Lepisosteus oculatus: one gene and its partners. The protein of the gene in region 2 interacts with the protein of the main gene of each other region in a biochemical or structural test. Links are inferred from orthologs where the notes say so. Each region holds a gene or a part of one and is shown on either strand. Other genes may lie near its edges.

Region 1 (3,745 bases), on a different chromosome or scaffold from region 2:
AGATACTTTTGCTTAGCAGGAAGAAAGATATCAATGAATTGATCCACTGATAAACCGATCTGTCAAAGTAACACTGATACAGTCACCCAGGTCTTTACACACTCACACGTTTAAGACTCCCAAAGAAGATGAGCACTGAGCCAGTGGGGTTTTCACCAGCAGATGCAGGGAGAGTAGAGATTTATACAGAGCAGGCAAACCAGGGTCCCCCAACCCTGCTCCAGCCTGCTGGTGTTCCTCCCAGAATATCTTTCCTTAACTGAATTAATGAGTTCAACTGTAAACATTCCCCTGAAGGGTGCCTTTGCAGAATTTTCTTTTTCTGAGATGTTTTAACTCATGGGTTTAACTTATGAACTGCAAGGAGACGCTCTTGCTCCCCAGTATGATTAGGAGCAGAGGACTACTGAAGGTGTCCGGTGGATGCAACTGTCAGGCCAATCAAGAGTCTGATGCAGTAATGCAGAGCCCATCTGCAATGAAAACAAGCAGGCCCCTCAGCACCGGGGGATGTGTAACTGGAAGACTGCGGGTTCAAATCCTGGGTGGGACACAGCTGTCGGTACTTTGAGTGGCATATTTCGCCCTGAATTGCCCCTGTAAGAGACGCAGCTGTGCTGTGGAAGTGGAACTCCTTCGGGGCTCGACGGTTCAGGCCCGTCTACGCTTCGCAAGAGGAAAAGCTTTTGTGTCAGCCTCTTGCTTGACAAGAGCAAGCCAACAGCAACAACAGCAGCAAAGACAACAAAATAATACATAGAATAAATATTACATGTTTTTATTATATAATTTGGTATTAGTTCAGGTGGGTAGCTGCGTCAGCATGCGTAGGCTGCAAAGGAACAAGTAATAGGTTTATTCCATGCTGAAAAAAAGAAGAAAGAGAACACAACTTTTCGGCCGTGGAGCCTTCTTCAGGTGTGAGAGAGACAGGGCAGTAGGCAAAGGTAAAGTAGCGGGAGAACAAAGGTTGGGAGGGAGGAGGAGTGAGAGGCGGGAGCAGGGGACAGAAAGAGAGGCCATAATGTGGTATGACTGGTATAATATGGAATTACTCAAATTATATTAACAACCAAATATTATATATCAAATATAATAAAATAATACCTACAACAGTGTTACCACATGGTGAGTGGATTTTGAAAAACACTTCTGTTGTCAGAACAATTAAAAAAAAATCAGAGCACAGCCTTTATATTTTAAACTGAAACTGAAAAAACATCTTAGCTTAGAGCAAGCTTGGGAGAGAGCGCGATGCTTTGTATCCCTCTGAGTTACCACACAATTATTTGTCATTTTGGGGAAAAGGACAGGAAGGGAAGTTCACCTTTTTCAATTCTCCAAGCAGGTTCGGGGAGATAAGCATCTTAAAGGACGTCTCCGCGGTATTAGGGTTGTAATCGGACTTGGACGCTGCATTACCGCCCTCAGCCCGTACACACGCTCGGAGACACACGGGCGCACAAAACGTCAACAAGCCGAAACTGGTCATTAGAAACCAGCGGCGGGGTTTGAACCACAGCCATGAAAATTAAGTGATTGCACACCGACCTCTCAGAGCATTGGGAAATTGTTTACTTAGGTGTGTGTTCAGGTGAATTTAGGAGGGAATTTAAAATATAGAGACATCGGAAATAATCATTATACGTTATTTATGTTCGCTTTTAGGGGAAAACGTGGTGTCTTCAGCTGCACAGGCCAGTCTCTGGACACTGCTGGCCGGGTAAATGACTTTTGACTCTCGACTGCTTCGACATCCACGAGCTCTGGAACTGTAACGCGCGCGCCGGAGGCGGGGGGCGCTAGACTGGCTGTCGATGGTCTCGTCTCCTGCGCAGTCTTTCTTTTTTAAAAAAATAAATAAAACAAAGCTTTAAAAAAAAACCGTGCAACCCACGGCATTTTGCTCCGACACTGAAAAACCGTTCTGCTAGAAAAACCGATGCGCGACTCGAGTAAAAAAAAACAAACAGTGTGACATTTGAAAGTAGCAGCTACAACTCGCATCCAAGCCCTTGACAGGGGGAAAAAAAAAGTTTTGGTGCCAGTGCGCTCCTCGAGATCTAACCTACCAGGAGAGCAGCAAGTTTCCAAAGCGGGTGTTGGCGTTTATACGCGCGTAACTCTCGTTTATCCTGCCGACGTCTGCGCGGCGATGCTTGCAAGGGAATCACGGCAACAGACCTCTCGATTAACGGCCAGGAAGGCACCCGCGCACACGCTGGGCGATGACACTCCGCCGGGACACACGCCAAGCCCGGCCGCGGCGCAGCGCGCTAGCTGGGGCGGTCGATACGGTGTAGCCAAGCCTGCAGGCGCCGCGACACCACGGCCGCCCGTCCAAGCGCGGCGCTCCGCGGGCGCACTTACCACATAGCAGGGGGTTCGAGTCCATGTCTCAGGCGGCGGGGGTCCTGACGCTCATGCTGGAGGGAGAGGAGAACACCCGGCCGGGAGAGCGACGTCCACAAGTCGGTCTGGGGGCGAGAGGGTGGCGGGTGCCAACGGGCGATCGTCCAGCCCGATCCGGGGCTCTAATTATGTAATGACAGGGCTCCGACAAAGACCCGAGCCACCCCCATATTTCACCTCCGGACTTGACTGATGTGTGTGTTTGGGTTTTTGTTTTGGACGGCTTCACAGTCCTACAAGCAGCCACGGCGCATGCTGGCCTCCCATGTCCTCCTGCCCGGTCGCCGTGACGCCGAGCGCTGGCAGGTGAGGGTCTTTGGAATCGGCGAGGCTCGGAGTAGGAGACCCCCGTCTCTCTCTCTCTCTCCCCCCAGCCCCCCCACAACACACCAACCCCAACACCACCAGCACCGCCCCCCTTCCCAGCCGCTCTCCTCCGCTGCTCGCTCGGGTCCTGCTGTCGCTCCGCGAAGCGAGGTCACAACTCCCCGCCGCCTAGGCGCAACATGTCTCCGGGTACTCCGCCTGCTGTAACGGCGCTTGCTCTCGGCAGTCCATGACACGCGTGTCGGCCGCAAGCAAGCAGCAGCGGCGCCTCCCTCCCTCTCTCTCTCTCTCCGTCTACCTCAAGCGTCTCCAGTCCTCCCGTACTGTAAACCTCCGCGGCTGCGTTCCTCGCTTCCTGTTTCACAAACGCCTCGGCTGCGCTCGCCGCCTCTCGGCGCCCCCGCCCCCCTCTGTCGCCGGCGAGCGCCTGCAGAGTGAGATGTCAGCGTCACAGAACCCGTGACGTCAGCTATTTCCAGTAAAAAAAAAAGGAGGGGGGGGGCAGCAGCCAAAGACACCGTCACCCCCGCGAGCTGCTGCTCCGTCTAGTTCGTCGATACCTTTCGCTTCGATCGCGAATCCGTTCACAAAACATTCCCGCACAGAAATGAAATGCCAATTACGCTGAACTGCAGGTCGCGGGGGTTAACGGTGTTCGCCTCGCTGAAGCGACACAACGACGACGTCAGAACCTTGGCATATGTTGTATTTTAGAAGTGAAATACGAAATGTTACGTTATATTTCACAATGTGGGGGCTGCACACTGGTGGTGGTGGTGGAGGGGGTCCCCATTACCTGTAAAGTGTCGGCAATTATTAATTACTCCAAGTGCAACCACAGACTGCAACGCTTTCTCTATAAATTGCGTGAGGTGACACGAGTCTTATGATATAAAGCCTAAAGTTCAAACAAATAAAGATGAGATAAAAATAAACGCATAAGCCTCATACATTTATAGTGTTATTAATAATAATAATAATAATAATAATTGCTTACACTTATATA
Region 2 (3,745 bases):
TGCTTCAGCTGCGGAGCCCTGCAGCCCAGAGGGACCCTCCTGATCGGAGAGACCACCTGTCCGTATCGGGACAGTTCCCTCTCCAGCAGCTCGTTCCTCATGAACGGAGGCACGTTGGAGAGGGTGATCTTTCGAGCCGGGGCCGCGAGAGGCAGTACCGGGGTGAAGGTGCCGTCCAGGACAACTCCCTTCTCCACCAGGGTGTTTGCCAAATCGGTAGACTGCAAGAAAATGACTATACCTCCACTCATGCGGGAAGCGGACCTGATGTTCCTGCAGCCCACGACCTCCCCGACCGCAAGAACGCACCTCTCAAGCGGACAGAACTCCGCAGGGGAGATTTTCACACCATGGCGGCGAGTTAGTTTCTCAAAGGAGAGGTCTGGAGGATCAGAGCCTCCAGAACCGGCCATGATGAGAAAATAAACCCCGCTTTTCCCCAAAAAAGACAGAAAAACACAAACCCAGTGAAGAAAACACCGCCACACGATCAAACCCACCGAAGCTCCGCCCACTCACTCACTCAGTCTCGCGAGAAACACACAGAGAGAGAGAGAGGGGTTCATACACACACACCGACTGGACACTCCAGTACATTAACACTGCACTGAGAGAGAGAGGGGTTAATACAGACACACCGACTGGACACTCCAGTACATTAACACTGCACTGAGAGAGAGAGGGGTTAGTACACTCACACTGACTGGACACTCCAGTACATTAACACTGCACTGAGAGAGAGAGGGGTTAATACACACACACTGACTGGACACTCCAGTACATTAACACTGCACTGAGAGAGAGAGAGGGGTTAATACACACACACTGACTGGACACTCCAGTACATTAACACTGCACTGAGAGAGAGAGAGGGGTTCATACACACACACTGACTGGACACTCCAGTACATTAACACTGCACTGAGAGAGAGAGAGGGGTTCATACACACACACCGACTGGACACTCCAGTACATTTACACTGCACTGAGAGAGAGGGGGGTTCATACAGACACACTGACTGGACACTCCAGTACATTAACACTGCACTGAGAGAGAGAGGGGTTTATACAGACACACTGACTGGACACTCCAGTACATTAACACTGCACTGAGAGAGAGAGGGGTTAATACAGACACACTGACTGGACACTCCAGTACATTAACACTGCACTGAGAGAGAGAGGTTAATACACACACACTGACTGGACACTCCAGTACATTAACACTGCACTGAGAGAGAGAGGTTAATACACACACACTGACTGGACACTCCAGTACATTAACACTGCACTGAGAGAGAGAGAGAGGGGTTAATACACACACACTGACTGGACACCCCAGTACATTAACACTGCACTGAGAGAGAGAGGGGTTCATACAGACACACTGACTGGACACTCCAGTACATTAACACTGCACTGAGAGAGAGAGGGGTTAATACAGACACACTGACTGGACACTCCAGTACATTAACACTGCACTGAGAGAGAGAGGGGTTAATACAGACACACTGACTGGACACTCCAGTACATTAACACTGCACTGAGAGAGAGAGGGGTTAATACACACACACTGACTGGACACTCCAGTACATTAACACTGCACTGAGAGAGAGAGGGGTTAATACACACACACTGACAGTGTGACTGTGTTGTCTGTACCAGTACCCGGCAGGTACAGGTACAGGTAGCACTACAGGCTACGCTCCGTCGGTCCGTCTCTGTCTCTTCCTCCCGGTACCCCGCACTGCCACGCCTGGTCTGCTCCGACACGCACCCCCGCAAGACACCCCTCTCCCGCTGTGGGGTGCGGTGCTCAAAGCCGGAGGCGAAACACGCGTGGGAACCTGCCCCAAGACACCCTGATCGCCACCCGCCGTGCACAACACCACACTCCCCCCCATAACCGCGATGGCAGCGCCTTTCCGGCTGCAGAAACGCGAGCGAGAAGGACGCCCTTACCAGACCATCCCGTACGCGCCCTCCCCGATGTACTGCAGGTCCGTGTAGCGGGGCCCCACGTCGAAATTCTGCCCCTTCACCGACTCCAGGCCCGGCTTGGAGCCCCCGGCCCCCGTGGAGCCGGCGGCCGGCGCGGCGGCGCCCCCGGCCCCGGCTGGGGCGCCACTCGAGCCCGAGGCTGCGGCCGCCGCTGCGGTGGCTGTCGCGTCCGCCATGACTTCCGTGTTGTTGCGAGGCCGAGGTGCGAGTGTTTACACGGCGAGTTTGTGTCACTGTGACAGGGAGGAGCTAAGAGAGGAGGAGGAGGAGGGACCGGAGTGCGGATTAAGCCCCGTTTCGCACAAGAACAGGGAGCCGGGGACGGGGGTGGGCGAGCGCGTTTCTCACTGGCGGAGGGGGAGGCGCGCAGAGAGACGAGGCCTCGCCGGCCTGAGCGCAGAGACAGGACGCCCGGCCTCCTTCTCTCTCTCTCCTCCTCCTCTTCCTCCTCCTCCTCTCCCCCCTGGCGAGATGCGCGCTGCCGCCGAGGCAGTGCGCGGCCCCGACGACGCTCGCTGGCTCTGCACGACTGCGTGTCCGTGGGAGTGAGAGTGGGAGTGGGAGTGGGCGGAGGCGTGGGCGTGGGCTCGTTGCCATCCTGGCTTGGGAACCCCGTTTCGAGAAGCACAACACCGAACAAAAAAAAAAAACACGAGTCACGTCCCGACAGGTTGAGGCAGAGATGGACGGTGAACGCCCGCTCGCCCGGGGCGTCCGGAGTCTGAGCAGAAACCGCAAAAACAGACACACACATATATATATAGTTGAAAAAAAAATCTGTGTTGTATATTTCACGGCATTGAAAGATTTGTTGTTGTTGTTGTTGTTTAAAAAAATGCACATGAAATGAAACGAAGGTGCTAATCGTGCGAAATCACGCGTGGGCGCCAGAGCTGGGCACGCGGATTCTAGCTCATTTCTGAATTTCATCAGAATGAATACATTCCTCACACTCGTGCAGCGCGTTTCTGGACACACACACGCAGAGCGCTTTACAGGTCATGGGGATCCCCCCCACCCCCCACCAGTGTGTACCCCCACCTGGGTGATGTTCCAGTATTCTCCCCACACAGCAGCTCTCAGAGTGATGAGGACAGGTCAGAGGTCATTAATAATAGCCTTATACTTATATAGCGCCTTTCTGGACGCCCCGCTGGTGGTGGGGATCCCCTCCAGCAGCAGCAGTGTGGAGCCCCACCAGTGCGCTCACACACAGCAGCTCTCAGGGCGAGGAGGACAGGTCAGAGGTCATTAATAATAGCCTTATACTTATATAGCGCCTTTCTGGACGCCCCGCTGGTGGTGGGGATCCCCTCCAGCAGCAGCAGTGTGGAGCCCCACCAGTGCGCTCACACACAGCAGCTCTCAGGGCGAGGAGGACAGGTCCGAGGTCATTAGGGGTTACTAGGAGGCCAGGACTGGTCAAGACCAGGGGGACACCGGGGTAACACCCCGACTCTTTTATAGAGACACCCCGGGATTGTTCATGAGCACAGAGAGTCAGGACCCCGGTTTCACGTCTCATCTGAAGGACGGCGCCTTCTTCCAGTCCAGTGTCCCCGTCAGTGTCCAGCCCTACTCTTTTATAGCTCACCATCACTGGACTGGGGCATCAGGACCACACAGAGCGCAGGGAGAGAGCGCCCCCTGCTGGCCCCACTCACCCCTCTCCCAGGAGTCTCCCCTCCAGGTACTGGCCAGGCTCCCCCTGCTGGGCTCCAGTGGGGCTGCCAGGTGTGCCACT
Region 3 (3,745 bases), on a different chromosome or scaffold from region 2:
AGCTCACTCATTTCCAGTTAATCACCATTCTTACTGGAAACCCAGCTCTGATTTTCACAGCAGCAGTAACCCCAGCAGGCTGTCTGCACGGCGTGCTCTCGGGGCCAGCACGAGCTCTTCTGGTGCACGACAAGAGAAGTGCTGATTGGGAAGGTTTGGTAAATTTCTCTCTTTTTTTCTCTTTTGCTGGGCTCTGACATTCAGTGCGGCGATCAGATAAAAGGGGAAGGTGTCCTGCACCCACGCACCCTATCACACTCCCAGTGATCTGACACCCACTCAGTCAGTTACTCACTCACACCCACTTGCTCTGTGTCACACACACACTCTGGTCAGGACTGTCTGTGAGCAACAAGTGGTGCCTTCTCCCTGGCCTCTCGCTGCCAAGCCAGCTGGGCGTGGGGAGCGCAGCCGACCGGAGATCTTGCCCCAGGTTCGAGAGAAGTCCAAGTCACCGGAGGGAATGCCCCTGCATTCCCAGGCATTGTGGCACAGCACGGACCCCAACAGCCCCAACCGTGCAAAGTGGGATGGCAAAGCTTTCACACACTTGTGCCACACTTTGGCTCTGTGTACCATAGAGCTCAGTGCACAGAGAGCTGTAGTGAAATGAGGGCGACAGAACAAAATCATCGCAAAGCAAATAAGTGACGGTGCAGACAGGGTGTGATCAAGGGAAAAGACTGGGAGGAGTGGGCTCATGTACAGGAGGTGCTGTGTGTCCTGGGCAGGCCTGTCCCCTTGTGTGCTTTCTGGTAGTCGAGCGGGCCTGTAACTGGGGGTCTCCTGCTTTTCTGGAGCACCGGTTCCACAGAGAGGCTTTAAAACAGTGCGGCACATTCTAGGGGTGGGAGAGAGTTAATTATGTTTCATTTTCCTGCTCCTAATTACTCAGTTGGAAGTGGTTTTCTTAACTGCTGGGGGGGGGCCCTGACAGTAGAGGACCCCTGCAGCTTTCAGTGCAGTTTTCTGGCTCCCTGTGTGCCCAGTGCCCCGCAGGGCCCTGGCAGGCTGCAGGCAGCCCTCAGCTGCGGGCGGGTGAGGTGGCAGCGCAGAGCCGGCTGGCAGAACGTGGGCCGGAGCGTGTGTGGGAGGCACAGGGAGGAAGCAGCTGAGAGGCGAACCAGAAGAGGCTCTCATCAGATCAGCAGCTTCCTGAACACACAGCCTGCGTTTTTTTTCAACTGCACACTCATTTCGCGCTGAGGCTCAGCTCCGGTGCCACCGAGTCGGAGCTCTCCTGGCTCGCAGCTCGCTCGCGAAGAGGATCGAGGGATGAGGGGTGCCATGGGGAGCCCCTGACTGGCCAGCCTTCAGGTGAGTGCGGAGCTGGAGCAGGACTGGCTGGTTCCCGGCGGGTCTGAGCTGTAACCCTGCTGTCTGTGGCTCAGGGCAGCTCACACAGCCCAGGTCTCCTCTGGCTTTTAGACGGGCTGCTGTATGGGGAGGGGAGAGGGGGGCTGCACGGCGCGACACTGGTTTCTGATGCGACTCTGTTTTGGCACTCCCCTAGCCCGGAGCGGACGGAGCTCCCTGCCGCTCGCGTGTGTCCTGGTGGGAAAGGGTGGATGAGAAGGAGGGTATTGAGGCCCGACCGGACCGGACCCTGGGCGCGGAGCAGGAGCAGCAGACGCAGAGCAGCTGGGGAGAAGTTGAGCAAAGAGAAAGACGCTGAAGAGGCAAACTTGGCTTTCAAGTGGCGTGGGGAAAACCACCAGGGTCTGGGACGACAGCAGGAGCTCCCGGGACAAGGTAAGGTGGAGAAGAGGTCTATTCTGAACACTGACGCTGTGCTGTGGTAGTTCATGTTTACTGTCTAGTAATTGCGATGTGACTACAGCAGTGTAAGGACTTACCAGCGAGCAATGAAAAATCAAGGTGAAAGAGGAGAGGAATCGAGGCCAGGACATTTCTCCCCTCAGGCAGCAGCTGGTGTTGCAGAAGATGCCGCATGTTTAGATGGCTCTGCAGACACACGGTCCTGGTGCAAAACTGCACGATTTTGCAGGCATTCCTCCTTTGGGAGGCAGTAAGACAAGCCCCTGCTCTTGCTGCGCCTCGGAGATGAAGACCTCTGTGCAGGAGTCGCTCCGAAGATTTACCTTGCCCAGAGGTCAGACATCACCTCAGAACTTTTTAAGTGTAATAATGAAAATGTCCTGAATGATGACATTGTTAATGCCGAAGGCAGCCCATGGAGACGGCAGGGGGTGTGGAGGGGCACAGCTCTCTGTCACTGGGACTGAGCCGATTAACCCCACCAGGGACAGTCAGGGACTGACGTTGGGGCGGCTTGTATCTGGAAGAAGTGGGGTTCAGTTCCAGCGACAGGTACCTTTCTGTATGGAGGCTGCATGGTCTTCGTATGTGTGTTTGAGGTCTACACTTACATTTCACAGTCCTTCATTAGTCAGGCACTTTTAACCCAAGCAGCTTACAGCCAATTTCTCCTGGCGTTCCTCATCTTCAGCCAAAACGTTCGGCTTGCGAACCACAGGAGAAAACTACCTGGACATGTCCAGACGATTATAACACCGCTAACATCTGTACAACGCCTCTATCATGTCCCCAGGCCAGAGCAATGGAACCTGCTGCTTTTCATTCCAGCGGAGCTCGTTACTTGGTTGAATTCTTGACTGAATTAGCAACTCGCTTGATTTGGATTGTTTGCAAGTTGCTGATCTACTTAGGAACTGGAGACCACGGTCACATATGAAATGCAATAGTTAACAAACAACTTAAAAAAGTTAAAAGACAGCTTCCAGCATGTTCCTGACGTGAAGACAACGACGAGCTCCAGTCAGTCCTGTGTTATTAGGGCTCGGGGGTGTAACTCTGAGCTCAGCTGGAACTGGACCCTGCAGGTGTGGAGCTGCCCAGGACTGGGGATGGGACTGCTGGGACAAAGCGGACAGATGAACTGAAATTCAGCCAGGGCCTCAGGATCCATACCCTCTCTCTTTCCGGTTGCCTCTGCAGGCAGGCAGGTACCTGGGTTAGAAATCATATGGCAGTTCTGGAGGGAGCCCAGCCCTGTCAGCGGTCAGGACAGAGGTCTGGGCTCACAGGCTCAGTTACAGTACAGGGCCCAGGCAGGAAAGAGCCTGTGCTTAACAGGATGTTACACTGGTGTCGCAATGTTGCCACTGACTGTACAAGAAGAGGTAGAGCTTCCATCCAAAAGCCTCAAAAGTCCAATTTCTCTGTCTCTTGCTTTCCTGCCTGCTGTGCTCGCACCTGGGCAGAACCCCTGTGCTGGTACTAGTACTGCGCTGACGATGGCACCTTTTCCCAGCTGTTCTCAAAATGGATTTTAGCAGAAAGAGAGATATAGGCACCGGCTCACACCATGCATGACATTTAACTTACAGATCTTTTATGTACCGTTTGGCTTTGCTAGGGTTTGCTTTGCATCCCTGTTTTGCGTTCTGTCGCGTGCTTTGCCTGCAGCCACGTGAGGGTCCGTTCCTGAGCGCGCCAGCCCTGCCTGTGGCTCGGGGCTCCGCACGCGGCTGGGAGAGCGAACTCTGCGCTCGGGTTTTCTCGCGGGGGTCAGAAAGCGCTCAGAAACACCGGACTCGCAAGACTGTACTAACAGCTCATGTATCAGTGCTGTTGGCACGGGGATAAATCATTTGACCTCCAAGGTTTGGAGGAATGGTTAGGATTCCGAATGTAGTCTTGTAAAAGGACTGGGCTGTTTCCATCTCCGGAGCGAGGCGCAGGTGCCGGCTCGTCCCCAGTG

The links.
Region 1: of the proteins of mitogen-activated protein kinase 1-like (region 2) and elk1, one has a biochemical effect on the other in vitro, tested with the Homo sapiens proteins (6 studies listed by BioGRID and IntAct, with this or other methods). The link is inferred for Lepisosteus oculatus from reciprocal best matches to the Homo sapiens genes MAPK3 and ELK1.
Region 3: the proteins of mitogen-activated protein kinase 1-like (region 2) and tyrosine-protein phosphatase non-receptor type 7 form a complex in vitro, tested with the Homo sapiens proteins (3 studies listed by BioGRID, with this or other methods). The link is inferred for Lepisosteus oculatus from reciprocal best matches to the Homo sapiens genes MAPK3 and PTPN7.

Annotation. Positions count from the first base shown.
Region 1 is NC_090697.1:76,536,861-76,540,605, forward strand, and holds the start of elk1 (ETS domain-containing protein Elk-1), read right to left. Parts: upstream 2,793-3,745; 5' UTR 2,396-2,792; coding exon 2,371-2,395; intron 2,362-2,370; exon of another isoform or gene 2,073-2,361; intron 1,844-2,072; exon of another isoform or gene 763-1,843; intron 1-762. UniProt on the Homo sapiens protein: Transcription factor that binds to purine-rich DNA sequences. Forms a ternary complex with SRF and the ETS and SRF motifs of the serum response element (SRE) on the promoter region of immediate early genes such as FOS and IER2.
Region 2 is NC_090699.1:2,585,365-2,589,109, reverse strand, and holds the start of mitogen-activated protein kinase 1-like, read right to left. Parts: upstream 2,543-3,745; 5' UTR 2,178-2,542; coding exon 1,963-2,177; intron 1-1,962.
Region 3 is NC_090700.1:40,442,178-40,445,922, reverse strand, and holds the start of tyrosine-protein phosphatase non-receptor type 7, read left to right. Parts: upstream 1-1,148; 5' UTR 1,149-1,317; intron 1,318-1,513; 5' UTR 1,514-1,752; intron 1,753-3,406; exon of another isoform or gene 3,407-3,745. UniProt on the Homo sapiens protein: Protein phosphatase that acts preferentially on tyrosine-phosphorylated MAPK1. Plays a role in the regulation of T and B-lymphocyte development and signal transduction.